Linked DNA regions of Stegostoma tigrinum. The protein of the gene in region 2 binds, or shares a complex with, the protein of the main gene of each other region. Links are inferred from orthologs where the notes say so. Each region holds a gene or a part of one and is shown on either strand. Other genes may lie near its edges.

Region 1 (7,265 bases), on a different chromosome or scaffold from region 2:
TAAAGTGCCTAAGTGGAAAATGAGGTGTTGTTTCTTCACCTTGTGTTGAACTTTGCTGGAATGCTACAGCAGGCCTAGGATGGAAATGGGAACAAGATAGTTCATTGAAATGGCAAACAACTGAAATGTCTGGGTCATTCTTATAGACAGAGTGGAGCTGATCTGTAAAGTGGTTCCCCATTCTGCATTTTGTCTCGCTAATTTAGAGGAGGCCACATGGTGAGAAGTGACGACAGTAGACTAGTATGAAAGAAATATGAGTGAAATGATATGTCACCTAGAAAATGTGTTTGGGATCTTAGGGAGTGTAAGACTGTAAGGAGAGGAGAGGTATCAAGGCAAGAAGCACCTCATGGAAAGGTGCCCTGCGGGGAGGATGGTGTGTAAGGAGTCTCTGAGTAGTGAACCAGAGTTCACAGAGGGAACAGTCCATGCGGAACACTGAAGTGTGGGGAGGGGAAGAAGAATTTGTTGGTGGCATCCTTCTAGATGTGGTGGAAATGGCAGAGAATTTCCTCAGTGTGGAGACTGGTGGTGTGCAAAGTGACAACATGGGGAATCTTTTTGTCTGTGAGAGAAGCAAAGTGGTGAGGGCAAAAGGACAGCAAATGGGTAACACACATCTGAAGGCCCTGTCAACCATGTTGTGGGGCAATTCTCGACTGAGAAAAAAATGAGAAAAGTTTGGAGACACATCAGTGGAAGATGGCTTTATTGAAACAGATGCTGCGGAGATGGAGAAACTGAGAGAATAGAATGGAATCCTTGAAGGAAACAGGGTGTGAAACTGTAGTCAAAGTAACTATGGGATGAGGTGGGTTTATCGTGGATATTGGTGGACAGCTTGTCTCCAGAAATAGAAACCCCGTGAAGTCAAAGAAGGGAAATGGAGAGTCAGAGTTAGACCAGGTGAAGGTGAGAGGAGGACAAAAGTTGGAAGCAAAACGGGTTAAGTTTCCAATTCTTAATGAGTGCAGGAAGCAGTCCTGATGACATTATCAATGTACTAGAGAAAGAACTGTGGAAGGGAGATTGAGTGGGACAGGAGCAAGGAATGTTCAGCATATCCTACAAAGAGACAGACAGAGAACTTATTTATTTGGAGTAAATAGTAATTCCTGGTAGGTTCAGAAACGGATCCATATTTTATGTTAACCTGAGTCTGTCAGACAGGTAAATTTGGGACTTTGTGTACTTTGATAAAATTGTCAACTTTTGTGATGACTCTAGAAATAGCAAGCCATGATTTGTAGCATGTGTCCCAGTGTGGTGTGACATGTATAAAACACAGTCTCTTGGATAAAGCATCAGTTATTCCTTTGCTGCATCATATTTCTTTGGTCTAGCATCAATGTTCTTTTCTCCTGCTATGCTTCTGTGAACATTTTTCTACATTAAAGGTTCTGTGTGAACACAGTATGTTGTTACCAGAAGGTAATTTATAGAGGCACAGAGCACAAAAACAGGCCCTTCAGCCCAATCCTCCATGCTGACCAAGTTTCCTATATTGAGCTAGTCCCATTTGCTTGCATTTGGCCCATATGACCCTAAAACGTTTCTATCCATGTATCTGTCCAAATGTCTTACATTCCATATACACAACTCCCACTGTATGAAAAAGTTGTTCCTCAGGTCCCTTTTAAATCTCTACCGCTCTCATCTTAAACCTTTGCTCTCTAATTTTGGACTTCCCTACCCTAAGGGAAAAGACCTTGGCTATTCACCTTATCTGTGCCCCTCATGATTTTAAAAATCTTTATAAAAGACCTCTCAGCCCCCTTTGGTTCAGGGAAAGATATCCCAGTCTATCCAAGCCACTGAAATTGCAGACTGCTTGAGAATCTGCGAATCAACTGAAAAGGCTATTTTATCCAGGGGTGCTTCACTACATTCGATCAACATTTATAATTACAATATATATTTTGTGCCATACATATAGCCCTGAGAGATTTTCAGCATCTTAGTTTATAGTAGAGTCAAAGAATTGTACAGGTGTACATAGAGCTGGATCCAACTCATCTATGCTGACCAGATATCCTAAATTAATCTAGTCCCATTTGCCTGTATTTGCCATATCCATCTGACTCCTTCCTATTCATATATCCATCCAGATGCCTTTTAAAAGTCATAATTGTACCAGCTTCCACAAGTTCCTGTGGCAGCTCATTCCATACATGCTCCACCCTCTGCATGAAAAAGTTGCCCAATAGGTCTCTATCTATGCCCCTTATGATTTTTATAAATTTCTATAAGGTCACCCCTCAGCCTCCAACGCCCGAATGAAAATAGCCCCAGTCTACTCCCCCTCTAGCTCAAACCTTGCAACTCTGGCAACATCCTTGTAATTCTTTTCTGAACCCTTTCAAGTTTCACAACATTCTTCCTATGGCAGGGAGACCAGAACTGCACACAGCATTCCAAAAGTGGCCTAACCAATGTGCTGTACAGCTGCAACATGACCTCCCAACTCCTGTACTGAATGCGCTGAACAATAAAGGCAAGCATACCAATGTCATCTTTACTATCCTGTCAACATGTGAATCTACTTTCAAGGAGCAGTGAACTTACACTCCAAGGTATCTTTGTTCAGCAACAATCCCCAGGACCTTACCATTAAGTGTATAAGTCCTGTCCTGATTTGCCTTTCCAAAATGCAGCACCTCATATTTATCAAAATTAAACTCCATCTGGCACTCCTTGGCCCATCTGATCAGGGTCCTATTGTACTCTGAGGTAACCTTGGTTGTCCAATTTTGGTGTCACCTGCAAACTTATTGAACATACCTCCTACGTTCACATCTAAATCATTTATATAAATGACAAAGGACAGTGGACCCAGTACTAATCCTTATGGCACACTGTTTGTCACAGGCCTCCGGTCTGAAAAGTAACCTTCTACCACCACTCTCGATCTCCTACCTTCGAGCCAGTTCTGTATCCAAATCGCAAGTTCTCCTGTATTCCACATGATCTAACCTTGCTAACCAGTCTAACTGGGGGAATGAGAAACTTTTAGGCAGAAACTTTCGCCCTTTCAGTCTTTCGTATATTTCTGTTTGCTGTCCTGAACCTGAGTGTTCAGTTTACAACAGTGACCAAATTTCCTGGATTTTTTTGGACTATTCAATTTTGGACCAGATTGTCCCTTGTCCCGGATTGGCTGTTTTCAGAACAGTCCTTATTCCGCATTTTTCATCATAGAATCCAGGTAGTGCAGGAGCAGGCCATTCAGCCCATCAAGTCCACACTGACCCTCTGAATAGCATCCCACTCAGACATATCCCATCCCAGTAACTCTGCATTTCCCATGGTCAATCCACCTAACCTGCACATCTTTGGACTGTGCGAGTAAACCGGAACATCTGGGGGAAACCCATGCAGTCACAGAATGTCCAAACTTCAAACAGATAGTTACCCAAGGGTGAAATCAAACCCTGATCCCTGGTGCAGTGAGGCAGCTTTGCTAACCACTGAGCTACTGTGCTGCCTAATTGTTGCAGATGTGGATAATGCACCTCCCACTGGCTCATCAACATCCCCCAGCCCAGTTGGACAGTCACCTGTACCAAAATTTCCCTTCTTCCTAACCCGAGTTGGTCACCCTGTTAGGTGCATAGAAATTATAGGCTAAAGTAGGCCATTTGTCCCCTCAAGCCTGCTCTGCCATTCAAATAATATCATGCCTCACCTGATTGCGGCCTCACCTCCACTGCTGTGCCTAACCACCCCTAAATAAACTTTGACTTGTCAGCTAAGAATCTAACTCTGCCTCAAAAATATTCGGTAATCCCACGTCCACCATTCCCTGCCAAGAGATTGCCAAAGACATCCGACCCTCTGACAAGAGAAATAAACTCTCTTCATCTCTAACTTGAAATACGAGTCCGCTAATTTTTAAACTGTATCCCCCTAGTTCTAAGATAACGAAATGTGAAGCTGGATGAACACAGCAGGCCAAGTTCTAGTCTAGTTGCAACCCTGAGACCATTAGCGCCCAATGGGTTTGAGAAATCAGCAGGAGCACTGGAGACAGGCAAGAACAAATAAAAATAATAATAACAAGAAAACATCAGCAAGCATCTCTGGAGCAGTGTGTATTGAGAGAGGTGATGCAGCGATTCATGAATCTAATATTAGGAGGGAATCATTCTGCAGTTGCCTGTCCAAGGTTGGAGCCAAGAGCCTTGGCTGGCTGATCTCTCACCTCTGCTACGTGACCCCGGAAGTGTTCTATTCGCTGGCCGGCAGTGTTGTTCCGGGTCGGTGCCACAGCCGGGAAGATGGAGGCTCAGGGCCGCCGCCGGGCCTGGCACAGCCCCGAGCCTGGGCCCGCGACCGACCGCCACCGATTGAGGATCAAGCGAGAGGGGGCAGTTGGCCCCAAGCACCGGCCCTCGAGTTCGGGCTCCTCCGGGGGCAGCGTCTCTCCACCTGAGCACTGGCAGAGCCGCTCCCCGGCCCGGAGGAAGCCGGCACCCGAACAACAACAACATTCACGGCCCGGGGGCAAGTTGAAGCGGGTGAGTTACCGAGTCAAGCCGGTAATAATAATAAAACACAAATCATTACTGCAGCAACCGTTCCCTCGCATGACAGGAACTGCAGCCCCAATTCAGCCACATCATAACTGAGGAAGAGGATTTAACTTTCACGTCAATCTCACTCTAGTGTCATTGCTAAAGAGAGTGTGTGAGTGAAAATTCAGTTCCTCGGTGAGCGCAGGAAGGAGGGGAATTTGGTGCAATGAAGAGGCAGGTGAAGTATTATTAAAAAGTTCCATTAAAGTGCATGAGGAATTGTTAATAGCAGCAGAAGGGACCTGAATGAGAGAACACAAGTTTAAAGGTGTTTGGCGAAGACACCAATACAAATTTCCTTTCATCCAGAGTGAGATCTTATACGCCGAAAAGCGCTGCCTGACAGGGTAGCAGAAGCAGATTTGATTTTCACTTTTTGGAAGGAAACTGAATGATTCAAAAGAGACATGAGTTGCAGCACTGTGACTGGTGAATGGGACTGATTGGATAGCCCTCTGAAGGTGCTATCTGGCTGAATGGCCTCCTTAGTTGTGATTAAATTTGATTCTAGATTCCTGTTTTAGTGGTTAAAAGTTAAAATGATCACCCTGGATGTGAATTGTGTTCTGTTGTGAAGCCACAAGGTTTAATGTGATAGTTAAATACAATAGTTTATAGTTAGCTTTCCAGTTCATGTATTTCACGGATAAGTTAATTTGGCAACACAGCACAGTAGTTAGCCTTGCTGCCTCCCTGTGCCAGTGATCCAAGTTTGATTCCAACCTTGTGTAGAGCTTGCACATTCTCCCCATGCCTGTGTGGGTTTCTGCCTGGCCCTCTGGTTTCCTCCTACAGTCCAAGTGTGCAGGTTAGAAGGATTAGCCATGCTAATTTGCCCCACCTGTTGAAGGATGGTTAGGCTAGATGGCTTGGTCATGGTCATCGTGAGATTATGGTGATAGGATGGGGGGGTGGATCTGGTGCATCTCTGACTCTTCGGAATGTTGGTGCAGACTCGGGCTGAATTGTCTCTATCTGCACTGTGTGGATTTTATAATTCTATGATGAAATAATAATCTCCGCTAGTTACCATGTGAAGTTTTTATACCAATTGTCTCATAATTTCAGGCCATGCCATGGCATGCAAAATTTAATTTTTCTCATTCCGTTCAGGAACGGCATGACCATTCTCAACGGGATCATGCTGAGAGACGACACAGAGACCACTCTAGTAGAAATGGGCATCGGCGCAAGAAGAACAGTGACCGAGAGCGTCACAGAGAATGTTCAGACCGGGGCCGAGGCCACAACAAAAGGAATGGTAGCTCTCACACAGAAGGTGGTACAAGTGGCCGAGACAGGGAGGCTCAGCTCCTCAGCACTCAGCAGGCCGAGCGAGAGTACTACAATGAGAGAAGGCGTCAAAACCGCAATCAGTGTCCCCTGCTCAGTGATGAGCATCCTGCCTCTGAGTCAAATAACAGCCAAGCTCATAGTGGCAACACAGCCCCGGTGAAAGAGGAGCCAAATTTTGAGCTTTCTGGTGCCCTCGTGGAAGACACAAACACCTTTCGTGGAGTGGTGATAAAATACTGTGAACCGCCCGAGTCCCGGATCCCAAGGAAACGATGGCGGCTTTATCCGTTCAAGAATGATGAGCCTCTTCCAGTTATGCACATTCATCGTCAGAGTGCCTATCTCTTGGGCCGACAGCGGAGGGTCGTGGATATCCCAATTGACCATCCTTCCTGCTCCAAGCAACATGCAGTGCTACAATACAGGTTGGTGTTTAAAAAGCTATTAATGTAAGCCTGTGGGGAGTGGACCTAACTGGATTGCTGTGCAGGGTCCAGTATGGACATGTTGGTTGAATGGTTCCCTGTGCTCCCTTAAATGACAACTTTGCATTGTTCTGACATCGGTTAGTCTGATGCTGATCCCATTGGATTTCCTGGTTGCCACCCTTCTCCTGTAGGATTGGTTTTCTTTTATTTGCTGTCCAGGTTTCTCTCTCCCAATTTCTATTATAGGAAGTAGACTGCAAAATGATTTTTATTTCCTCGATGTTCAGCAGTCTTCCCCGGAAAGGCAGTTTGTTAATATTAAATAACTACTTTAAGAAAAAAAAACTAAACAAACATCCCATTAAGAAATGAGCTTGTGGTCACAGTGATAGATTCCTCACTGAGCAGTACCTGTAAAGGGTTTGATGTTTCCTGGGACAGGGAAAGTGTCTCGGGCAAGCAGCTGCCAAAATCTAATTTATATCCTGGAGCTAAAGAAAGACCTTATGTTCCCAAGTCACCTTTCCTGGTCTTGGGTCATTGCATATAATTTTATAACCAGTCGAGCAATTTTGAAACATAGTCACTGTTGTATTTTAATAAACGCGACTGCAGTTCTTGTAGATTTAACAAGTACAGTTTTAGGGGTGGAGCAGTAAATGGGAAGCAGGCAATATTTATGGAAATGTTTGTCTTAGGGCATTAAATATGTTGAAATACTTTATAAGTGAGTGGATTTTATAGACTGATACTTTTGTGTTTGATAGGCCATAGCTTTTGTCCTATTCCACAGTCCGGTCCAAAAGTGTTTCGGCTGTCTGTTACCCTTTTCTCTCTCTGAATCCCGTTTTGAAAGTATTGCCAACACCCTTTGGTACTTCGAGGGAAGTACTTAGGTGTAATATTAAAATTAGTGCGTGCATTGATCATCTGATTTTATTTTTCTGGATTGAACAAAGTTAAT
Region 2 (7,775 bases):
CATGCCTTTCCAAATGGTTATTAATTCACTCCTTCAAAGTTTTCTCCAATAGTTTCACTACCACCGATGTGAGACTCACCGACCTGTAATTTCCTGGTTCATCTCTAAAACCTTTCTTGAAAAGTGGAACCATATTAGCCATTCTCCATTCCTCTGGCACTTCCCCCATGGCCAGAGCTAACAGCAAAATGACATGAAGAACTCTCCTTAATTTCGGTACACTCAGACAGTGAAGGCCATCAGTCTAACTGGGACAAGGTAGCCATTAGTAGCCCAAGCCAAACATAGGCACGCACGGGAATTCTAGAGGCGTGGTTCTCCACCCATACTTCAATTAATAAACAAATAGAATTGGACTCCATATACAAACCCATACAGATCAAAACCAGAAATGACAACTCACCATAACAGACCAGACAGTATAAATTCTAAGTGGAGTAGAACAACATCACTTCATCGGAGACTCCACCAATGATGTCACCTAGCACGGTGATGAAATGTCTGAGCTACAGATCTTCACCAAAACTTTAAACAATTATGGGCGTAACATGCTAAAAATTGCCAGACAACGGGAAATCTTTACCAATCAACTGAGGTCTGCATGTGAACAACTTCACTTCCTCCACAAACATCTCAGGAACCAGGTACTGCCCCACAGCGTGAAATACAAACCTCCACTCAACAAACCACAGGATATAAAATAGCTGAATAGAATGGATGCAGAATGCTATGTGTAATGATTAATGATGCCCATAACCAACTCCAAAGGTACGAATGAGAAATTGTGCACCAAAAATCACAGTATCTAAACTCAATGGACCAACAATGGACTACACCTAGAACAGGCCATCACCATCAATCAACACAAAACCAAAACTAAGAATGGACACAAGCTGCAGGAGAAACTGACCAAACTGACTCCTCACAAAAAGGACAACAACAAACCAAATGCATGGAGAAGAAACCTATCTAACAGACAACTCACAGAAACGGAGAAAGCTGTCCTACTACGCGGACTGAACTATAACCACAAAAGATGCGAACAGAACAGGCTTCATGGCTGCCCTGGAGAATACATTAAAAGACAACAGCCTCAGGGAGGAAACACAACAAGCCCTGGGTGCTCTGGTGTAGTGGTCAGTACTCTGGTTTCTGAGCCCTGCGATCCAAGTTCAAGTCTGGGTGCAGCCTATTTCCTGCCCCGGTTAGGGTTCAGCCTCAGGCAGTCTCATTTTTGTCATTGCAAGTCCGAGAATTGAAGAGGGCTGATTTTGGGCGGCACGGTGGCTCAGTGGTTAGCACTGCAGCCTCACAGCATCAGGGACCTGGGTTCGATTCCTGCCTTGGGCGACTGTCTGTGTGGAGTTTGCACATTCTCCCCGTGTCTGCGTGGGTTTCCTCCGGGTGCTCCGATTTCCTCCCACAGTCCAAAGATGTGCAGGTTAGGTGGATCGGCCATGATAAATTGCCCGTAGTGTTCAGGGGTGTGTAGGTTATGGGGGGATGGGTCTGGGTGGGATGCTCCAAGGGGCAGTGTGGACTTGTTGGGCCAAAGAGCCTGTTTCCACACTGTAGGGAATCTAATCTAAAAAAGCCATCCGACAAACTATAAATCGCCACACTACACAGAAGGAACAAAGGGGACAACCTGAACACAACAGAGAGAAAAGCACTATATAAACTCAGGAAAGTCAAGAACATCATAATCCTAGCAGAGAAAGGATGCATGACCATTATCATGAACAACCAGAGATAATGGGAACTGCAGATGCTGAAGAATCCAAGATAACAAAGTGTGGAGCTGGATGAACACAGCAGGCCCAGCAGCATCTCAGGAAGATTCTGCTTGGCTTGCTGTGTTCATCCAGCTCTACACTTTGTTATCATAAACAACCAGACTACGTTAAGAATGCTAAGACACTGCTTGCAGATACAACCACTTACCAACAGGTGGCGATAGACCCAACACCACAGCTCAGTAATCGGATCAGCCAGGCACTGAAGCTACTAATGAATGCAGGGCAGATAACCAAGACAGACTTCATGAGAATGAAACCAGCAGGCACAAACACCCCCTCCCTCTTCTATGGACTCCCTAACGTACATAAACCAGACATCCCTCTCAGACCCACTGTTTCCTGACCAAGACACCTTCACATAAACTGGCCAAAAACCTACAACAGAGATTGAAACACTTAGTAGATAGATCACCTCATTCTATTCACACAACACAAGATGTCCTTGATACCCTCAAAAACATAAAAATCAGCGACTAGATTATGGTATCCTTTGGCGTCACAGCTTTATTCACATCAATTGACATCCCACTAGCCGAAGAAACAGCGCCCATATTACTAGAGGAAATAGCAACACAGACCAGTAGCTCCATCAACAAGGACAACATCATCTTCCAACACTTCTGCCATCTGCAATCCGACCCCACCACCAAAGACATTTTTCCCTCCCCACTCTTATCTACTTTCTGGAGGAACCACTCACTCCATGACTCCCTTGTCTGGTCTACACTCCCCTCCAGCCCCACTACACCCGGCACTTTTCCCTGCAACCACAGGAAGTGCTACACCTGCCCCTACCCTCCCCCCTCACCCCCATCCTAGGCCCCAAGGAAACCTTGCACATTAAGCAGATGTTCACCTGCACATTTGCCAATGTGGTATACTGCATCCGCTGTTCCAGATGTGGCCTCCTCTACATCGGGGAAACCAAGCGGAGGCTTGGGGACCGCTTTGAGGAACACCTATGCTCAGATCACAATAAACAACTGCACCTCCCAGTCGCGAACCATTTCAACAACCCTTCCCATTCCTTAGACGACATGTCCATCATGGGCCTCCTGCAGTGCCATAATGATGCCACCCGAAGGTTGCAGGAACAGCACCTCATATTTCACTTGGGAACTCCACAGCCCAATGGTATCAATGTGGACTTCACAAGCTTCAAAATCTCCCCTCCCCCTACCGCATCCCAACACCAGCCCAGCTTATCCCCGCCTCCCTAGCCTGTCCTGCCTCCCTCCTATCCATTCCTCCCACCTCAAGCCCCACCCCCACCTCCTACCTACTAGCCTCATCCCGCCCCCTTGACCTGTCCATCCTCCCTGGACTGACTTATCCTCTTCCTAATTCCCCACCTACACTCACCTTTACTGGCTCCTCCTCCACCTCTTTGACCTGTCTGTCTCCTCTCTACCTATCTCCTCCTTTATCCATCTTCTTTCCACCTCCCTCTCTCTCCCTATTTATTTCAGAATCCCCTTGCCCTTCCCCATTTCTGAAAAAGGGTCTAGGCCCGAAACGTCAGCCTTCCTGCTCCTCTGATGCCTGCTGCGTTCATCCAGCTCTACACCTTGTTATCTCAGATTCTCCAGCATCTGCAGTTCCTACTAACTCTAGCTAAGTGGAGGGTTGAGGTCATAACACATAATAGCAGAAGGAGGCCATTCAGCCCATCAAGTTGGCTCTGCCATTTGATGAGGACATGGCTGATCTGACAATCCTCATCTCCATTTTCCTGCCTTACTAATTAAACATCTACCTCTACTTAACAATCTAACTGTGAATAATTTCACAAGAGCAGTTCCATTGAATGTAAATTCCAACATCCGCTATGGCAGACTTTGAACCCACATCCCTACATTACCTGAGTTTCTGGATCCAAATTGATATCATTAGGCTATTGCCTCCCTCACTGGTTTCTCTTTTTCAATTTAAATATTTAAAGAAGTGCTTGTTCTTCATCTTTTGTTACTTGCATGTTTACCCTCAGTTTATCTTCTTCCTTCTTGCTATTTTTTGGTTTTCTTTTGATGATGTTTAAAACTTTCCCGATCCTCTGACTTAACATTAATCTTTACCAGATTGTATTTTTTTCTTTCATGGGGTAGTGGTAGCTGAGACTCATTGACTGGAAAGATATTCAAGCCTGAAATTCTGGTAATATTTAAGAAAGATACCCCTCATTAATGGTGTTGTAGGTCTACGTACAGCACATAGACTGCAGTGGTTCAAGAATGCACAGCACCACCAAGTTCTCAGCGGCGACTAGGGGCAGGCAATAAATGCTGACACAGCCAACGATGCCTACATCCTATGGATTTTTTTTAAAATTAGATGACTTAGGTCTGAATATATATGTCCTGAAGTGTAACTGAGCATTCAAGAGTGCACAAATTTGAGTTTAAGTTTAAACAATGAGTTTGGTTATGGCGAAAAGGCAGGAGATTGGCACTGAATTAAAATATTCAGAGAGCCAGTCAGACACAATGGCCGTCTTCTGCACAAAAACAATTCTCCTCCTCACCTACACACCTTTACTGGCTCCATCCCTGGCTCCTTGACTTGTCTGTCTCCTCCCCACCTACCTTCTCCTCTATCCATCTTCTATCCACCTCCCCCTCTCTCCCTATTTGTTTCAGAACCCTCTTCCCCTCCCCCATTTCTGAAGAAGGGTTTAGGCCCGAACTTCCGGCTCCTCTAACGCTGCTTGACCTGCTGTGTTCATCCACATTCACTCCGCATTATCTCGGATTCTCCAGCATCTGCAGTTCCTCCTATCTCAATCATTTAATTTCACTCCATTCTGTGAATAACAGAAGTCACAGAGGACAGTGTCGTTCCGAGCCACCAGGGGCCGCTGTGTGCAGTGCCGTCGAGGCCACTGGGGGCCGCTGTGTGCAATGCAGCTCTGAACCACTTGGGGCCGCTGTGGGTATTCCCACATGGAGCCACCAGGGGCTGCACGGGCTCCGCTTGCTGCTGATGTTGTATTGTTGTTAAGATGGCGGAGTCCGGGGAAGCGGGGAAGACGGCCCCGGTCTGTACTTTCCTCTTTAAAAAATCTAGCAGGAAATTTAAAGGAAGGAAGCGGAGGGCGAGCGCTAGTGACAAAGGTATTGACCTGGAGGGAGGAAGGGGCCGCATTCTCCGGCTGTGTCTCCGCTCGGGCTTAAAACGGAGCGCAGTTCTCACCAGGCGCCGTTTCATGCAGCTCGGAAACAGACCATTCAGCCCAACCAGTCCGTGCTGCCCGTAATCCCAAAGTAAACCAGTCCCACCTGCCTGTTCCTGGCACATATCCCTTCAAACATTTCCTGTTCATATACTTATCGAAATGTCTTTTGAACATTGTAATTGTCCCCACATCCTCAGGAGATTCATTCCACAAGCGAACCACTCTCTGTTTGTAAAGAAATTGTTTTTTTTAAAAAATCCTTCTCGTCTCACCTTTAAAAATGTGCCACCTGGTCCCGAAATCCCCCACCCTAGGGAGAAGACACCTGCCATTCACCTTATTTACGTCCCCTCGTGATTTTATAAAACCTCTATAAAGTCACCCCTGAATCTCCTACCCTCCAGGGGAAAGAGTCCCAGCCTTTCCAGGTTTCATCCTCAACAACAAATCGCACTGATTAAAGTGCATTCTAATGTGGTGATGCTAAATTCAACAAACCCGCTTGCTGTCCTGGGTTTATCTCCAAGCCCCTCAATGAGGAAGATTGATTTGACAAAAGATCTTTGACAGAGGTAAAGTAATTTGCATTTAAGTACCACCTTTCAAGACCACAGGCTTTTTTCCTTCAGCATCAAGGCTAATAAATTACTGGAATTCACTGTTGTAAAATCGGAAGCACTGAGGCTGGAGTCTGGGCGGGGGGGATGCATATGCACAGGAAAATCTCCACACACGGCATTTTGTAATAAACTGATAATAAACAGATCAACTGTTTCAGTAACATTAATTTAGCGAGGGGCCTATGTTGGTCAGGAATCCGGGGAGAATAACTTTGCTGTTCCTCTCATAGTGCAGAGGAACCTATTGTCTTTCCCTGAGAGCTTAGACACCTAGAATTTAATGTTTTGTCGGAAAGACAAAGTGACAAAGTTAATATTGGCCTTCTTTTGGAATCACAGTTTAATGTTGACTTACAGTGGCAGACATTCCAGTTTCTCTTGTTAAGGTTATATTTTAGTGCTCGTGAGAGTTTCGCCACTGCTTTAATTTAGTTTCTAGGTATTTACATCCAAGATGGTCAGAATCCTCTGTTACGAGCTTTTGCTCAGTGCAGACGATGCTGCTTTATCACAAGATGAAGGCAGCAACAGGAGAAATGGAATCTTCTCTGAGAATTGAGTGTGTGTCTTCCCTAGTGTTCAGCCAGCCGAAGGTCATTTTGTGTGTTGTGTGAAAATAGAAAGCACTGGAGAAACTCAACAAGTCTGGCAGCATCTGTGGAGAGAGAAACACTGTTAACTGTTCCAGTTCTGCGTGACGTGTTTGTAATGTGAAGAAGAATCATACTCACTTAAAAATTAATTATTTACCTCCCCAGACTGCTGAGTTTATCAAGTGCTGTTTATTTTTATTTCTGATCTCCAGCATCTACAGTATTTTGCTCCTATATAAATGTGTGCAAGCAAATTACAGAATATTTACCAGACTGATATCTGCAATTGGGGATGTTGGCTTATGTGGAAAAGTTTGACAGGATAACCTTTTGTTTCCTGGAGTTGAAATTAAGAGGCAACTTGATGGAAATGCACAAGATTGTAAGCACCTGAGGGATGTGGAAAAGATGTTTTCTCTTCTGGGAGAAACTGGAATTAAGAGCAACTATTTAAAAATGAGGTCTTGACCATTTAAAGGAGAGGTGAAGTGAAATTTGTTTTGAGGGTTGTGTGTGTTTGGAACTCTGTTGCCACACCTTTTCAGGAAGAATCTTCTGAATATTTTTAAGGCAAAATTAGATAATCTTTCCTGGTTTACCAAGAATCTATCAGGGTAGGTGAGAATGTGAACTTGTGGTTTTGATCTTTTTGAATGGCGAACCAAATTCAAGGGCCCACAGGCCTGCTGTTCCTTGTTCATATGTTAAAGTTGGAGACTTGCCATCATGTATTATGCAAGCAGGTGTAGATCATTCAGCCCCTTCAGTCCACATCACCACTCAGTAAGAACAAGGCTGATCTGGTGTGGCCGCACTCCAGTTTCTTGTTTGTCCCTTGTAGTTTAAGAATTTATCTGGTACAACCTTGAATGTATTCAATGACCCAGCCTCCACTGCGCACTGTAGAAGAAAGTTCCAAAGATTACTCCTCCTTTTCAAGAAGATATTTCTCCACTTCTCCATCTTAAATGGGAGACACTTCGTTTTTAAACTCTGCCCACTAGTTGTAAATTCTGCCACAGGGGGAAACATTTTCTTAGCCTCTTACTCTGCCAGGTGCCTTCAGAATCTTATACAGTTCAATAAGATCACCTCTTAGTGCTCAAACCTCCTCAGCCTTACCTCACAACAGAACTTCTTCATCCCAGGAATCAACTTAATGAACCTTCTCTGAACGTCTTTAAATGCAAGCACTTGACTCCCTAAGTAAGGAAACAAAACTGTGTACAGTCCTCTTGGTGTGATTTCATATCTGCATTCTGTACAGTTGAAGCAACACTTCCTCCTGTATCTGGAAGGGCACCGGATCCTTCCTTACAACAGTCTGCATTGTCCCTCCGATTTGGATAATCATCTGCTTTTCTACCCTTCTCACGAAGTGGGCATTTTTCCACAATATGCTCCATTTGCTACAGTTTGCTGTTCATTTAACCTACCTATATCCTTATACAGATTCTTTGTACCCACCTCACAATTCGCTTTCCTACCTGTCTTTGTATTATGAGCAAATTTAACTACAATACAGTTGTTCTCTGCATCCAAGTCCTTAAGTAGATTGTAAATAGTTGAAGGCTCAGCACCAATCCCTATT
Region 3 (7,332 bases), on a different chromosome or scaffold from region 2:
GTATTACAGCTTTGAGTTTAATAGATGGTTGATTGGGTAGATTTATGAATTCTTCTAAGAATGCTTCAATGTGTATCTAAATATGCAAATTTCAACATATATATACATAGAAGGAATCGTTACTACATGACTGCATCACTTAATAAATGAGTTAGCGAGAATGAAAAATATTCTCTGTAAACAAAATGTAATCTCTGAAAGTCAAAATGTAGCCCTTAAAAAAGGATATGAAAGGAAAAGTTCATGTTGGTGTGGGGCCTAGAAACAGAAGCAGGACCAGGATTTCTCTTTCTAGCCCTGCTGTTGAGCCCATTTGCTATGCATTAGTATGACTGCAGAATAGTTTGGGATGAGCTCACGTTTGGAGAGAGTGGTCAGTGGGTGGCTGGCCAGAAGAGCACTGGAGTAGGATGTAATAAAGGTATGGTGAGTGTTTTAGCTGTAGGGGTTTGAAGGCAGGGACACGTGGTGAAGTTAAAGTGGTGAGAATAGCTGGTTTTGTGTTAGAAAGGATAAAGGTGGAGGTTCACGTGCATCCAGTAGATCATAGAGGTTTGATACAATCTCTTTCAGCCTGAAAGAGTGGTCTGGAGTGAATTGAAATTGAAAATGGTGGAATAGAGGTTATGTTAAAGGCTGAAAACAATGACTTCAGTCTTAGTGGTGTTTTCTACAATGAATCAAAACTCATTTGAAACTGCATGTTATACAGACATTATGACAACATAGAGGAGGTGGAGGGTTTGACAGAATTGGTAGAGATGCAGAATTAGGGGTCATTCATGTTTACTTAGAACCTGATGGTTTGTCTTTGAGTGATGCTACTGAAGGACAGCATATGGATGAGAATTAGATGCTGAAACCAAAAGATACCCAGGGAGTCTGAAGTAACAGCCTCCTCCTTTTATTTTCATTATGTAGTTCCTGAAGAACCATCAGGATTGCACATTACAGGAGGACTTGAGATTAAACTTTGACTCGCTGTAAATGCACTCCTAGTTAAAGAAATATGGATGGGGATATATGGTAAAGGCAATTGAAACACTATATAACTAACAGCATAAGAGAATTTTGTTTACAAAAACGTTCCAGTGACACACTATTCTAAATACTTAGCTTTCTCAACATTTGGTGAGGCAATAAATTAAAATTGATTGGAACACAGGAATAAATGGACTGCTATAGTTTTGATTGTAAGCAGCACTTGAAGAGAAGGTAACTGAAAACATAAGGGGAGGAAACCTCTTTGATCTATAGTATAATGCTGACTGTATTAGTTTCACTCTTGTAGAAGAGCTAAGATAAAATGCATCTATAAAGCATCTCTGGTGACCTCAAGATGTCCCAAACAGTGAGACAAATAACCAGATAACTATTTCCTTGACATTGGTTAAGGGTGAAGTTGTTTCCTACATTGTTGAGGCAGCAACTTTTACTGCTCTTGGTAGATGCAGTACAATCTGTCTGAAAACTCAGAGCATTTGTTTTCTTTTGCAGCAAATCAATAGGGAACGGAAACCATCTTCAGTCTGATTCCCAGCTGTTATGAATGATCTTCTCAATTTGTTCGTTGCTTGAAGAAAGAATGCATGCCTTTTACTGATCAATAAAGATATTTTACAGGAAATATTAGACTGATTATGTTCTTTTTATTGGTATTTCAAAAGAAAGGAAGAGGTGGCAGTTTTGATCAAAGACACTGTTTAGCACTGAAAAGGGATGATATACTTGATGCGCCAATGATTGAATAAATACTTGAATAAAATTGCTATGATTTTGGGAAAGAATGTGATTGTGGCATTACTTCGATAATTCTTTCAAAAGAGCTGACAAACATGTAATGAGCTCATTAGCCTCCTTTATGATTACATTTTGCACTCTAAGTAGCTGAAGCAACAAAATTAAAAATGATAAATGTTAAACCACGATGTAAATAATGTGAGAGCTCTTGAAATTCTGCTAGGTAATAAATTAGAAAAGTACTCTTGATTTAATCTTGACTTAAAGTCGATCTGCCATTCCTCCTCCATGCTGATTGAGCCTTGAAAGGCTAATTTTCTTTGAGAACCATTCCCTGCCCTTTCTCCACAACCAGCAGAGCCTAATTTCTTGCCAGTCTCTGAAGTCTTACACCCATGAGTTTGTGTACTTTATGATCATATATCATCACTAAGATGAAACATTTGAATATTTGTTGCATTAACCTTGCATTAAAGGTAAAAGTTGCTGTGCTCCTGGGCAGAAACAACTAGTGGAGGGTCACCACATCTCAGGTGTGGGGAGAGGTTGGGAAGAAGAATATTTCATAGTAGCCTCAGCTATTGTGGTAATTGAAACGCATCGCCAGGTCACAGACCAGCCAACAGAGCAAAACCAAGCCCTTGGCCTTGGATAATGAGAGTGATGTTTCAGTAGCTCAGGCACAATAAGTGCAATTGGAAACTGAAATAAGTCCTTGAATTGATATAGACTGGATATTGGAAAGTAGGATTGTCTTTGGAGTCTATCATTAACAGAGAGGAACATTCAGGAAGCACTAACATTAGGATTCTCCACGAAATAGAGAATAACAAAATAGGGTTGACGCTAGAAATGGGATAGAAATACATATAAAGTATAATATGGAAGCAGACTTTTAGGCTCACACTCTCTATGTTGGCAGTTACCATCAATTCAAGCAAGCAAACATGTTTTGGTCAGCTCTAGCACAGGAGGTTAATGGGTCAGGTCCAACTGTTGGGGGGTCAGGTCTGCTGCAGTAGCAGATGGGAAGGAAGTGAGTCAGGAGGTAGGTGGTGTGTTTGTGTGGGTCCAGTTTCAGAGCATGAGGGGGTTGTTGTGGCATGGGGCTCAGATTTTGTCCGGTCTGGCAGAAAGGAAGGGAGAGCATGTCAGCTGACAGGTGATGAGGTGTCAGGTCAGGTCTCTGGTGCAGGAAGGAGGTCAGGTTTGGATCTGAAGAAAAGCGTACAGGTCCTGGGGCAGGTGACAGGTGTAAGATGTCTGGTAAAAGTGCCTTCAGAGATGTGTACGTAAGAAAGGGGTCTGTTAAATGGTTACTCGGAAGTTAAAACTGAGTCAGGTCCAGCAGGAGTTGAGATATTTCAGGTGGGCTAGAGGTCAGGCCCAGGTTGTGTCAAGAGAATATAGGGTCAGGTCCATCAGGGTTGGGTCACAGGGTGGAGCCAGAGCTGTTAAGAGTTGGACCGGTTCAGGACGGGATGTAGAGTTGGGTCTGGTTCCCATGGAGCTGTCGAGTCTGGCAGAGAGTGGGGTGTGGTTGCATTGTGTGACATGGGTGTGTTAGACCTAGTGGCATTCAGTAGTTGGGGTAGATGCTGTGCTGGGGTGGGGGTGTGAGGTATGCCAGGGGTTGCAGTGTTGTTGTTGTGGGGCTAAGTTTAATAGTCAGGCTTTAACATGGGTTTTTAATCTACCATTTCCTGAGTGAATATTAAGCTTAAATGAGCTCTCACAAGTCTGGAAGATTTTTTTTGACATTTCCAAGGGGAGACAATTATTCCTGGGAAATTCAACTTCCCAGACAATTCAGAGGCCGCTGCACTGATCATACTGTATGGTCTCCGTGCAAGTCCCGTTTGCTTTGCTCTCTTAACTATCTGACCATTGTTTGGAGTGGGGGGGGGGGGTAGAGTTGGGGGTGGGAGAAATTGTTAATATTTTAAAGTCTAACTGTTCAGCATTTATGACACAAATCTGGAGCAAGTAGGATTGAAATAAAACTTACTGGAGAAACTCAGCAGGTCGGGGCAGATCAAACGGCGGAGCAGACTCACGCCGAATTTTGCTCCTGTATCTTACCTTATAACAGCATCTGTGGAGAGAAAGCAGACTTAATGTTTCGAGTACAGTGGCCATTTTTCAGGAGTCAGAGATTTGAACTCTAGCCTTCTAGTCGAGAGGTGGGGACACTATCCCTGGCCCACTGGAACCTTCAGAATAATGTATCTGCTATAGTATCATATTGTGGCATGCTGCAAGTCCTGTTAAGAACTCATTTGAAAATAGGTACAGCCGAAAGCCTGCAGCACTGTTGATACGGTGATAACAAGATGTGGAGCTGGAGGAATAGCACGCCAGGCAGCATCAGAGAACCAGGAAAGCTGACGTTTCGGGTTTGGACCCTTCTGAAGAAACTGCTTACCCTGCCGTGTTCCCCCAGCTCCGCACCTTGTCATCTCAGACTCCAGCGTCGGCAATTCCTACTCTCCGTGGCTGTTGATACGGTGTACGGCCGCACGGAGTAAGTGGCGCTGTCGCTGGCGGACAGACAATCGCATGACAGGGCTTCTCTTTGTTATCCGTCCGTCTCCGGTTGGGAAGTGAAGGCTGCTGTTGCGATTGGGGAGACCGGTCACTCAGGAGGGCGGCGGTTTCTGCTTGGGATCTGGAGCCCGCTTTTTAAAAAGCGGTTCGAGTTGCAGCTATGGTGGAGGTGGGCGTCTTTGGGTTATGTTCAGGATTCAGTAGGAGGGAGTGTGGATGTGTCACTGTTCTCGGGCTGTCGGCCTTTGAGCCGCCAGTTGCTGGGTCTGAGCGTTCCGGCCTGGCCGCCTACCCCGCACAATAAAGCAAGGAAGAGGGTGGACCCCTCTCCAGGTGCCGAAGGAAATAGAAAAGGATGATGTTGGGGAAGCTTTTCCTGTTTGAAGGAAAGGAAGTTGACGTGATCTACAAAGTTCCCATTTTATAGTAAAAGTAAAATGCATGCTGGTTAAGTACAGTATAACTTGCTTACCGTCCCTTACTAGCTGGCATTTGTTCATTCAAAAACAATAAAGGAATAAAGATGCAGTGACCTCTTATCTTGCATGCCTTTCTAAATTATTCAGCTTTTGGCTTTAATCAGTTGTATAATTACGGAAAGTTTGCTGTTGCGATTTCTTTTCTCCCCCTCCCCATTTATCTGTTTCTCGTTGCAAATTAGAATTCGTCTCAATGAGTCTTGTTTTGTACGCCCGTGTATATGTGATAAAACTTAAACATTCCAACCTATCTTTGTTAATATAGAGGAACGCGTGGACTGTCAATGAAGTGTTTAGAATTTATAGAGATGAAACGGAGTAGCTGGTAACTTTGCATATTTGAGATGTGCGGAATGATGGAGAGTGGAAGATATGACTTACAGGAGGCTTATAAAATTATGTAATACAGTATTCAATAAAGTAGGCACCATAAATGTTAATTAGGAATGGGCACTTGTGAGAAAGTGTCAAAGTCATGTAGGAAAATACATTAGAATAGAAATTAGGGTGCACAATCAGAACTGCTCATTTTATGGAAGGGCATCTATATGAGATGAATTTCCTGTTCCTGTGTAATTTCTAATTTTCTCACTCCATGACTATTCAAATGTGTAATCCTGAGATAAACTGTCAAAATTCTGGAAAATTTATGCTACTAGCCTACTATGTAAATTTTTCATTATGAGGGAGACTTTCCATTGGTACCATTTCCAATTAACTTTTCTGATCTTGCTGCAGTATGTTTGAAACTTAAGTTGTGAATTCCATCAATTTGTTAATTGGTGTTTTATTATTGAACAACTTTAATATACCCATGTAATAATTAGGGATAACAACCTTTTAGTGAACAAGTTGACAGAAGACTTGGTATAAATATAGCTATAAATTATATGCTTGATAAGAAATGTGTAGTCATTACCACAAAACACGAGGTGGTGACATGAAATGAGCATTGAATTTTAGTTTCCTTCACAGAAGATATATACGTTAAAGCTTAAAAGTTTAGAAACTTTTCAAACAAAGTTACAATTATTTTAGACAACATATGAAGTGGAATAAAGTTTTAGGTCTTCAGTTGACCTGCATTGTACACTGTTACTCATCTGCAGTCTACTGTCATGAGAGAACTTGAAAGTGCTGAATATTCAAAATAAAGCAACAGCTATTTAAAATAGAGATGAGGAGGTTTTATCTCTAGGGGTTTGTGACTCTTTCGAATATTCTACTGAGGAGCACTCTGGATTCAAAATCATTGACTGTATTCAGGGTGGAGATACAGTCTTGAACTACAGAATGGTGGGGTCAAGAGTTATGGGAAATGAGATGAGCCCAGATCAGAGCAGCCATAATCTTATTGAATGGTGTAGCAGGCTCAAGAGGCGATAAGGCCTTCTCCTACTTCTGGTGTTCTTATGAGCTGCAATGTGTTTTGTTTCTGTGCTTTAATTGTATGTAGTGCTTGTTAAAGTCAAGAAAGTCAGTGGTGGGGAATGAATTTCAATTGCCCTAGAACACTCCAGTGATAGTACTGAGCATTTTCAGGTTAGCTACAGGATGATCAGGAGAAGAATAAAGCTATTTTTGACACTACTCCAGCATGCTTAACTTTAACAACAGAATCCCAGAAAGTGAGAATGTAATGGTTTGATGGTGTCTGGTCTCCAGGATGACTGCCATTCTCACCAATTGTGGATACCAATTTCCTCTGTGAAACATTTTCAAGGGCAGGTGGAAGTGTTTTGTGATTTGGGCCTACTGTCACTAGAAACTGCCCTGCACGTGTCATATGGCGATTCATGTGTTTTATTCTGTTTCCAAGAGTAAATGTCATTGTGCTGACATACTGTTTCACTTGGCCCTATGAAAACATTTCTTGAAGTGCCTTGCAGGATATCTTCTAAGGTTACATGGCATGTTGAAATGTGGAAATATAGAAAGGATCAGTGTATTTTGTTTAGCAATTCCACCTACTATGTCATTGTTTAGTTCAATTTAATTATTTGATTAGTTGTTACAGAATTGGAAGTTCATACATAATTCAAAATTGTTTTTTTTCTTTTTGGCAGGAGGTGCAGAAACATTCTGTACACACACTGGTGTTCAGATCCCTGAAAAGAACCCACGACATGTTTGTTAGCGATCATGCTAAACCTATTGCAGTAGATGAGAAAAGGTGAGTGCTTTAGTTGAGCTTGCCTCGTAATAGTTGGTTACAGAATGAGTATCTCATCAGATACAATGCAAGGGGCCCAGCTTCATTACAGCCAGTGTCAAAGCCTCAAGTGTTTTATGTCTGGCATATAATACTTCCAAATACTTCAACCTGTGTTATTTCCCATTGCCATATTTTCATCTTGTCTGCTGAGACCACTTCTTATTTGTAATAACTTGTTTATTCTTACTATGACCCTGCACAGCTTTCACTCTGTTGTCCAAATCCACACGACTCCCCAGGATCAGCAATATCGTCTGCAGGCATCCCATCAACTTACATACATGTGGCATCCATACTCTGCTGTATTGTCATGCCACTTCTCTGTATTCCATGTCCAGTTTTTTTTATATT
Region 4 (7,485 bases), on a different chromosome or scaffold from region 2:
TGGGACAGGCAGACTGTCATTCAGTAAGCGAATCAAAAAGGCAGGAAAGTGGAGTTGAGGATTACCAGATAAGCCATTGAAAGGCCGAATAGACTCAAAGGGCCAAATGGCCTATATCCGATAGGATGACACTGTAAAGTCACAGAATTGTTGTGACATCAAAAGAATCCATTTTGGCCCATCATGCCTGCACCTGTTCCTCAAACAAACATCATTATCTGCTATAATAAAGTGTGAAGCTAGATGAACACAGCAGGCCAAGCAGCATCTCAGGAGCACAGGGATGCTGCTTGGCCTGATGTGTTCATCCAGCTCCACGCTTTATTATCTTGGATTCTCCAGCATCTGCAGTTCCCATTATCACGTCATTATCTGCTGCCTTTTTCCCATAGGCCCATACTATTTATATCCAAATAACCACCTGGTGCCCTTCATAGGGTCTGTGCAGACTCGATGGGCCAAATGGCTTCGATCTGCACTGTAGAGATTCTATGATTCTACACCGGCTTCTGCAGGACAGTGCCAATTTGACAAATACCCCAGGTGAGGTCTAATGGGTGCGTTTTCTCCATTCAATCATGGGATGTGGGTGTCACTCACCAGACAGTGTTGTTGGAACTGCACCCATCCAGCCAAGTGGGGAGTATTCCAGCATATTCCTGACTTGTACCTTGTAGCTGGTGGATAGACTTTAGGGAGATGAGTTATGGCTGCAGTGTTCCAAGTGTCTGCCCTGCCTTTGTAGACACTATGTTTATGTTGTGAGTCCAATTCAGTTTCTGGTCAATGATAACACCAGAATCTAAGGTTTTGGAGTAGATTTGTAGCTCGGGTTGTGGGTGTTGAGGTTGGTTGGCTCGCTGAGCTGGTTTGTTGTTCTGCAGATGTTTCGTTACCGTGCTGGGTAACATCCTCAGTGCAGCCTCTGATGAAGCATCAGTGTGTGTTTTCCCGCCTGGCTTTTAAACTCTGGGTTCCGTTGCGATGAACTGCCTCACTTCCGGGTTTCCTCCGCAGTAGAATGTATATGGGGTCAAGTTCAATGTGGAGTGCCATGGAGTGCCAGGCTTCCAGGAATTTTCGTGCTTGACTCTGCTGAACCTGTCCCAGCATCTTGGTGTTGTCCCAGTCAAAGATGGACAAGGAGAACCACGACTTTGACTCTCACAACTCTCTATAATTTCTTTCAGGCTTAGGCAGAGCAGTTGCCATACCAAGCTCTGCCGCTTCTGGTTGGGATGCATTCTATGGTACTTCTATAAAAATTGGTAAGAGTCATTGTGGACATGCTGAATTTCATTAGCCTTCTGAAGCAACAGAGGTGTTGGTCTGCTTGTTTGGCCAGCATCAACATGGATGGATGAGGATTGATCATTGGTGATATTTACTCTTAGAACTTGACCTTCTCGACCACCTCCACATCAACGCCATCGATACAGACAGTTGCCTGCCCTCCACTCTGCTTCCTGAAGTCGAAGACCAGCTCTTTCATTTTGCTGTTATTGGGGGAGAGATTGTGGTCTCCACACCATGCCACTAAACTGCCTATTTCCTTCCTGTACTCTGTCTCATTGTTGTGTGAGGTCCAACCCACTATAGAGGATTATTGTGGAGGGGTTGTCACCTATCCTCACTGATTGCAGTCTGCAGGTCAGGAAGTCAGGGATTCAGGTACAGAAGGGAGAGCAGACTCCTAGATCTTGGAGCTTGGAGATGAGTTTTGTTGGAATTATGGTATTGAAGGCATAGCTAAAGTCAATTAACAGGAGACTGATGTAGGTGTCTTTATTATCTAAATGCTCCAGGGCTGAATGTAGGGCCAGGGAGATGGTGTCTGCCATGGACCTTCTGTGACAGTCGGCAAACTGTTGTGAGCCAAGGCAATCTGGGAGGCTGAAGTTGATGTGAGCCATTACTAACTTCTCAAAGCACTTCATGATGATGGATGTCAGAATCAGTGCAGCAGTCATTAAAGCACATGACCTGATTCTTCTTTGGCACCAGGATGATGGTCATCTTCCTGAAGAAGGTGGGAACTCACATCATAGTAAGGAGAGGTTAAGACGTCTGCAAATAATCCCACCAGCTGGTCTGTGCAGGATCTCAGTTCACAATCAGGGACCCCATATGCACCAGTCATTTTCTGAGGGGGTAACTCTCAAGGACACAAAGAACAAAGAACAAAGAAACCGACAGCACAGGAACAGGCCCTTCGGCCCTCCAAGCCAGCGCTGATCAAGATCCTCTGTCTAAACCTGTCGTCTATTTTCTAAGGGTCTGTGTCCATTTGCTCCCTGCCCATCCATGTACCTGTCCAGATACATCTTAAAAGATGCTAACGTGTCTGCGTCTACCACCTCCGCTGGCAACACGTTCCAGGCACCCACCACCCTCTGTGTAAAGAACTTTCCACGCATATCTCCCTTAAACTTTCCTCCTCTCACTTTGAACTCATGACCCCTAGTAATTGAATCCCCCACTCTGGGAAAAAGCTGCTTGCTATCCACCCTGTCTATACCCCTCATGATTTTGTAGACCTCAATTAGGTCCCCCCTCAATCTCCATCTTTCTAATGAAAATAATCCTAACCTACTCAACCTCTCTTCATCGTTAGCACCCTCCATACCAGGCAACATCCTGGTGAACCACCTCTGCACCCTTTCCAAAGCATCCACATCCTTTTGGTAATGTGGCAACCAGAACTGTACACCGTACTCTAAATATGGCCAAACCAAAGTCTTATACAACTGTAACATGACCTGCCAACTCTTGTACTCAATACCCCGTCCGATGAAGGAAAGCATGCCATATGCCTTCTTGACCACCCTATTGACCTGCGTTGCCACCTTCAGGGAACAATGGACCTGAGCACCCAGATCTCTCTGTGCATCAATTTTCCCCAGGACTTTTCCATTTACTGTATAGTTCGCTCTTGAATTAGATCTTCCAAAACGCATCACCTCAAATTTGCCACTGATCTGACATCTGCAGTGGTGACTGTGAGTACAGGTGATCCCGAGATCGTCGGGACAGATGACATCATTTCACTAACCTGTTGTTTAAAATGAGCTCACTGGGGAGAAATGTATTGCTTTCAGAAATTGTACTCAACTTTGCTTTGTCGCCCCTTAAATCATGTAAGTCTTGCCAAATTCAACATGTGTTTCTGTGGTTAATCTGGGACCTCTGGTTTAGTTCGGGTGTTGTCTCTTGGCATCCTTGATGGCGTTTTGAAGATTTTATCTAGATCTAGTCAGATCACACCTGAATACTGTTCAGATCTTGTTTCATTTGAACACCGACTGCTTAGAAGTGAGGAGTTGTGAACAGTGCTGAACATTGTGCAATCATTCCCAGTTCTAACCTTATGATGGAGGTAAGGTCATTGATGAAGTGGCTGAAGATGGTTTGATTTTTATTGCAAACGAGTGGCAGTTCTTTATTGCACCAATGTAGGTACGCCTATTCATGATACTGATCAAGGGTGGCACAATGGTTGGCATTGCTGCTTCTCAGTACCAGGGACATCGCAGTGTTGAGTCTGCACATTCTCCCTATGTCTACGTAGGTTTCCTCCAGGTGGTCCGGTTTCGTCCCACAGTCCAAAGATGAGCAGGTTAGATAAATTGGCCTTGCTAAATTGTCCATAGTGTCCAGGGATGTTGAAGGCTAGATGGATTAGACATGGAAAATGCGTGTTTATAGGGATAGGGTAAGGGGATGGGTTTGGGCGGGGTGCTCTTAAGAGGGTCCGTGGTGACAGGACGTTGGATGCCTTCAAGGCAGAGATCGACAGATTCTTGATCTCACAAGGAATCAAGGGCTATGGGTAGAGTGCAGGAAAGTGGAGTTGAAATGCCCATCAGCCATGATTTCAATGGCGGAGTGGACTTGATGGGCCGAACGGCCTTACTTCCACTCCTATGTCTTATAGTCTTATGGACTCGATAGGCCGAATGGCCTCTTTCTGTACTTTATGGATTCTATAAAAATCACTAACTGAAATTTTATTTTATTTATTATTGTTACTCCATGTATCTGGCGATGGACCAAAATTAGTCGCTGCAATGCAATAAATTGAGAGTGCAATACCACATAGCAGCGGTCCTCCGATCTAGGGGGCACCTGGTGGTGCTAAAAGCATCAGTGGGGCCTCAAACCCGGCATCCAATGCGCCTGCGCGTCAATGTCTATCAATTTAATAACGCCGATTTGTTAAAGAACCGATTGTTTTATGTCAGAACCAAGCATACGATTGTCAGTATTTCTTCGGTAAGCGTTGTTTTTTTATTCCAAAAAATAACTGTAAAGGTCGCCTGGTAGGGGGCGGAGCTCCAACGCAGGCGATTGCGCAACATCGTGTAAACATTTTTAATAGCCCTAATTTACCAAGATTTCTCTTCACATGAGACAAAATCACAATTTCGTCCCGAACGGTTACTTTCATTTAATTGTACCTGCAGCTTCCCGGAAAGCCACGTGGCGGTAACCCTGGTAACGGCGGCCATGTTAGGTTTCCTCCGGCGGGCGGTTGACGGTTGGGATTCGAATCTTTTTTCAAGCGGAGAGCCGGAGCCGCGATGACGGACCGTTACAACATCCACAGCCAGTTGGAACATCTCCAGTCCAAGTACATCGGCACCGGGCACGCCGACACCACCAAGTGGGAGTGGCTCGTCAACCAGCACCGCGACTCGTACGCCTCGTACATGGGCCACTTCGACCTCCTCAACTACTTCGCCGTGGCCGAGAACGAGACCAAGGCCCGAGTCCGCTTCAACCTCATGGAGAAGATGCTACAGCCGTGTGGGCCCCCGCCCGACAAGCCCGAGGAGGCCTAAGAGGGCCTTGGGGGGGGGGGGGGGGGGGGGGTTGCTGGGGTGCGGTGTGGGCGAAGGGTGAGGATTAGATATGGAGATACGAGATGTGGGGTAGGGTTGTGGATAGGTGAAGGGGATTGGGGGGCATGGCTGTGGATAGGTGAAGGATGGGATGGGGTGGGAATGGGGATGGGAGGAGTATAGGTATGACTGGGTGAAGGGAGTGGAGTGTGGTATAAGTGTGGTTGGGTGAAGGGGATATAGTGGGAATTGGGAAGATACAAGTGAGTATGTGGGGAGGAATGAGGATTTGGGAGCTATAAGTATTGATGTCTGGTGGATTTTTGGGGTATAGATATGGTAATGAGTGTAATTAGGTGCAGGGACATGGGTGGAGGATAAGGAGGGAATATGGGGAGTGTGATTGCAATATGTGTGGAGGTATGTGGTGGATATTGTTGGAGGAAGAAGACCATGTATGGGGTATACAGTTGGAGGATAAGAAAGATACCATAAATGGGATGGTTACAGGTGTAGGCTGGGGGAGTGTGAGATGTTTAGAGGTTGGGCTGTGGCTGGACAGTTGGGTAACAGGAGGGATTTGGGTGAAGTAAGTGGCCTATTGGTGATTGAAGGGAGATATAGGTGAAGTACAAAAGAGACTTGGATGGTTGGATCAGAAGTGCATACCTGTGAAGGCTGGGTTATGAGGATGAGCTGTTCTATGGCTATTGAAGAGGAGTGATGAGAGTTTAGGGTACAAATGTTATTTGTGCTCCATTTTCCCTCCAAAACTTGGACTTGAATTTTGGCCCTCCCATTTGCCATCAGCACATCCAAAGTCGTTGTCAATGACTGAGGGATTGATCCAATCCGCTTCCAAAATGGCATCATTCCTGTACACAAATGAAAGCAAAATACTGTGGGATGCTGGAAATCTGAAACTAAAACTGAAAATGCTGGAGAAACTCAGCAGATCTGGCCATATTTAAGGGGAGAGAAACAGCTAATATTTTAAATCCAATATGACTTGAAGAACTGTACCTGGCCCCCTCTAAGTGGATCCACCTTTGCCTTCCCCAGCCAGTCAGGTCGTTTTTCAGCCACCCTCTTCCGCTCTACAATCAGCAAAGGAATCCACCACCCATCTTGCTCCAGCAGCAAGGGAGTCCACACTTCTCTTGGGGGCTCTGCCAGCACAAGGACATGCATTTGATTTAAACTTTTGTTATTCATCTGAAATATCATCTTGCTTTACAAAAGCAAATGACTTTTTTGTTGAACTGAACTACTTTATAGATAAAATGGTCACTGGCCACAAAAAGTCTACTGTAAAAATGGCCAGTCCATCTGACTTGCTCTCACAAGTGAAACTTTGTCACTGTCAACAGAAGGGAAATTTCACTGTTTCAAGATGTTCTGAACACCCATCCAGTGAATTACTTGTGATTTGCACTCACTTTGGCAACATAATCTTGAGCAACCGAGGAAAGGAATCTTACAAAGACTATCTGCTTTCTTCCCCAGTTAAATGGAATGGTCTCCATACACCTCCATCAGTGAGGAGCTCCCTGCTTGACTTCACCTAGGAGGTTGCTGCTGATATTGAAACCGAAGCCCACTACTGTCACATAGATCTTAAAGAAGGATTACAGAAGTACCCAATGTTCACACGGATGGTTGCTGCACGGAAAAACTCCCAAGAATGAATTGCATCGTAAATGGTATATGGGGTGCCGTACGGAGTAAAACTATATGAATCTACAGAGAGCGTTGATAACCTCTCCCCAACAACTGAACTATAGAAAAAGCCATTATGTTGGCAAGTGTTTGGATAAGTGGTTGTCAACAAAGTAGAAAGATTCCTTGAAACCCATGCATGATAAAAGCATGGCAGCTTTATATTTTTTATTTAAGGGGAATTTACTTAGAATGTTACTGATTTTAGAAGGATTGAAATTTTGGAAATAAAGAGAAACCCATCAAGTGATTTTCCTAAAACTTGGTGATTTATTGGATAATGTTCCAGGGGATTTTTGCGAGTGAATGGAGTAATGTTTTAGCAGCGATTGTTCAGCAAAATCAGAAACCTGCTCAACCATGACTAGGTCACTTAGAAAATGTCTCATTATTCAGAAGGGAAGGTTTTGTACCTTTTTTGTGTTGCCAGTTTATTCCTGTTCTGTTTTTGCTGGGCAGTACAAACTGTAATTCGTAAACAATTTGGTTTAAACTGGAGAAACAAAATATTTTGCTTTAAATGTATACCATTACACTGATCTGTGGCTCAATAAATGGACAGTTTTTTTTAATACTTTAGTTGTTTTGATTTTTTGTTCCTCTGAAATGTGAGATAACTAGGTAAATAGATGGTCACGGTCAAAGAGCACCGAATTTACAGAACACAATCTTTTGTCCTTATTGTGTATGTTTTAAATATGTATATGGATTAGAAGCAGAAATAAGCCATTTGGCCCTTCAAAATGTGCTCTGCTGTTCAAAAAATCATGGTTGAGCTGTTCCATTCTTGCACACATTCATTTACATTCTCAATATCCCAATTACCTTAGCCTTCTTGCCGAACATAAATCTAAAATGCCTTAAAAACATTCAATAGCCCTAACCTACTTCACCTTCTGAGGCAGAGAATTTTAAAGTCGCACAA

What was found.
Region 1: rnf113a (region 2) and snip1 share a complex: the UniProt entries of both Homo sapiens proteins name them as parts of the minor spliceosome. The link is inferred for Stegostoma tigrinum from reciprocal best matches to the Homo sapiens genes RNF113A and SNIP1.
Region 3: rnf113a (region 2) and plrg1 share a complex: the UniProt entries of both Homo sapiens proteins name them as parts of the minor spliceosome. The link is inferred for Stegostoma tigrinum from reciprocal best matches to the Homo sapiens genes RNF113A and PLRG1.
Region 4: rnf113a (region 2) and sf3b5 share a complex: the UniProt entries of both Homo sapiens proteins name them as parts of the minor spliceosome. The link is inferred for Stegostoma tigrinum from reciprocal best matches to the Homo sapiens genes RNF113A and SF3B5.

Annotation. Positions count from the first base shown.
Region 1 is NC_081377.1:12,589,302-12,596,566, reverse strand, and holds the start of snip1 (smad nuclear-interacting protein 1), read left to right. Parts: upstream 1-4,249; 5' UTR 4,250-4,280; coding exon 4,281-4,520; intron 4,521-5,690; coding exon 5,691-6,298; intron 6,299-7,265. UniProt on the Homo sapiens protein: Required for pre-mRNA splicing as component of the spliceosome. As a component of the minor spliceosome, involved in the splicing of U12-type introns in pre-mRNAs. Down-regulates NF-kappa-B signaling by competing with RELA for CREBBP/EP300 binding.
Region 2 is NC_081384.1:39,857,372-39,865,146, forward strand, and holds the start of rnf113a (E3 ubiquitin-protein ligase RNF113A), read left to right. Parts: upstream 1-4,763; 5' UTR 4,764-4,797; coding exon 4,798-4,909; intron 4,910-7,775. UniProt on the Homo sapiens protein: Required for pre-mRNA splicing as component of the spliceosome. As a component of the minor spliceosome, involved in the splicing of U12-type introns in pre-mRNAs. E3 ubiquitin-protein ligase that catalyzes the transfer of ubiquitin onto target proteins.
Region 3 is NC_081354.1:53,942,209-53,949,540, reverse strand, and holds the start of plrg1 (pleiotropic regulator 1), read left to right. Parts: upstream 1-4,310; 5' UTR 4,311-4,447; coding exon 4,448-4,456; intron 4,457-6,832; coding exon 6,833-6,939; intron 6,940-7,332. UniProt on the Homo sapiens protein: Involved in pre-mRNA splicing as component of the spliceosome. Component of the PRP19-CDC5L complex that forms an integral part of the spliceosome and is required for activating pre-mRNA splicing.
Region 4 is NC_081362.1:94,717,938-94,725,422, forward strand, and holds sf3b5 (splicing factor 3B subunit 5), read left to right. Parts: upstream 1-4,463; 5' UTR 4,464-4,580; coding exon 4,581-4,841; 3' UTR 4,842-7,132; downstream 7,133-7,485. UniProt on the Homo sapiens protein: Component of the 17S U2 SnRNP complex of the spliceosome, a large ribonucleoprotein complex that removes introns from transcribed pre-mRNAs.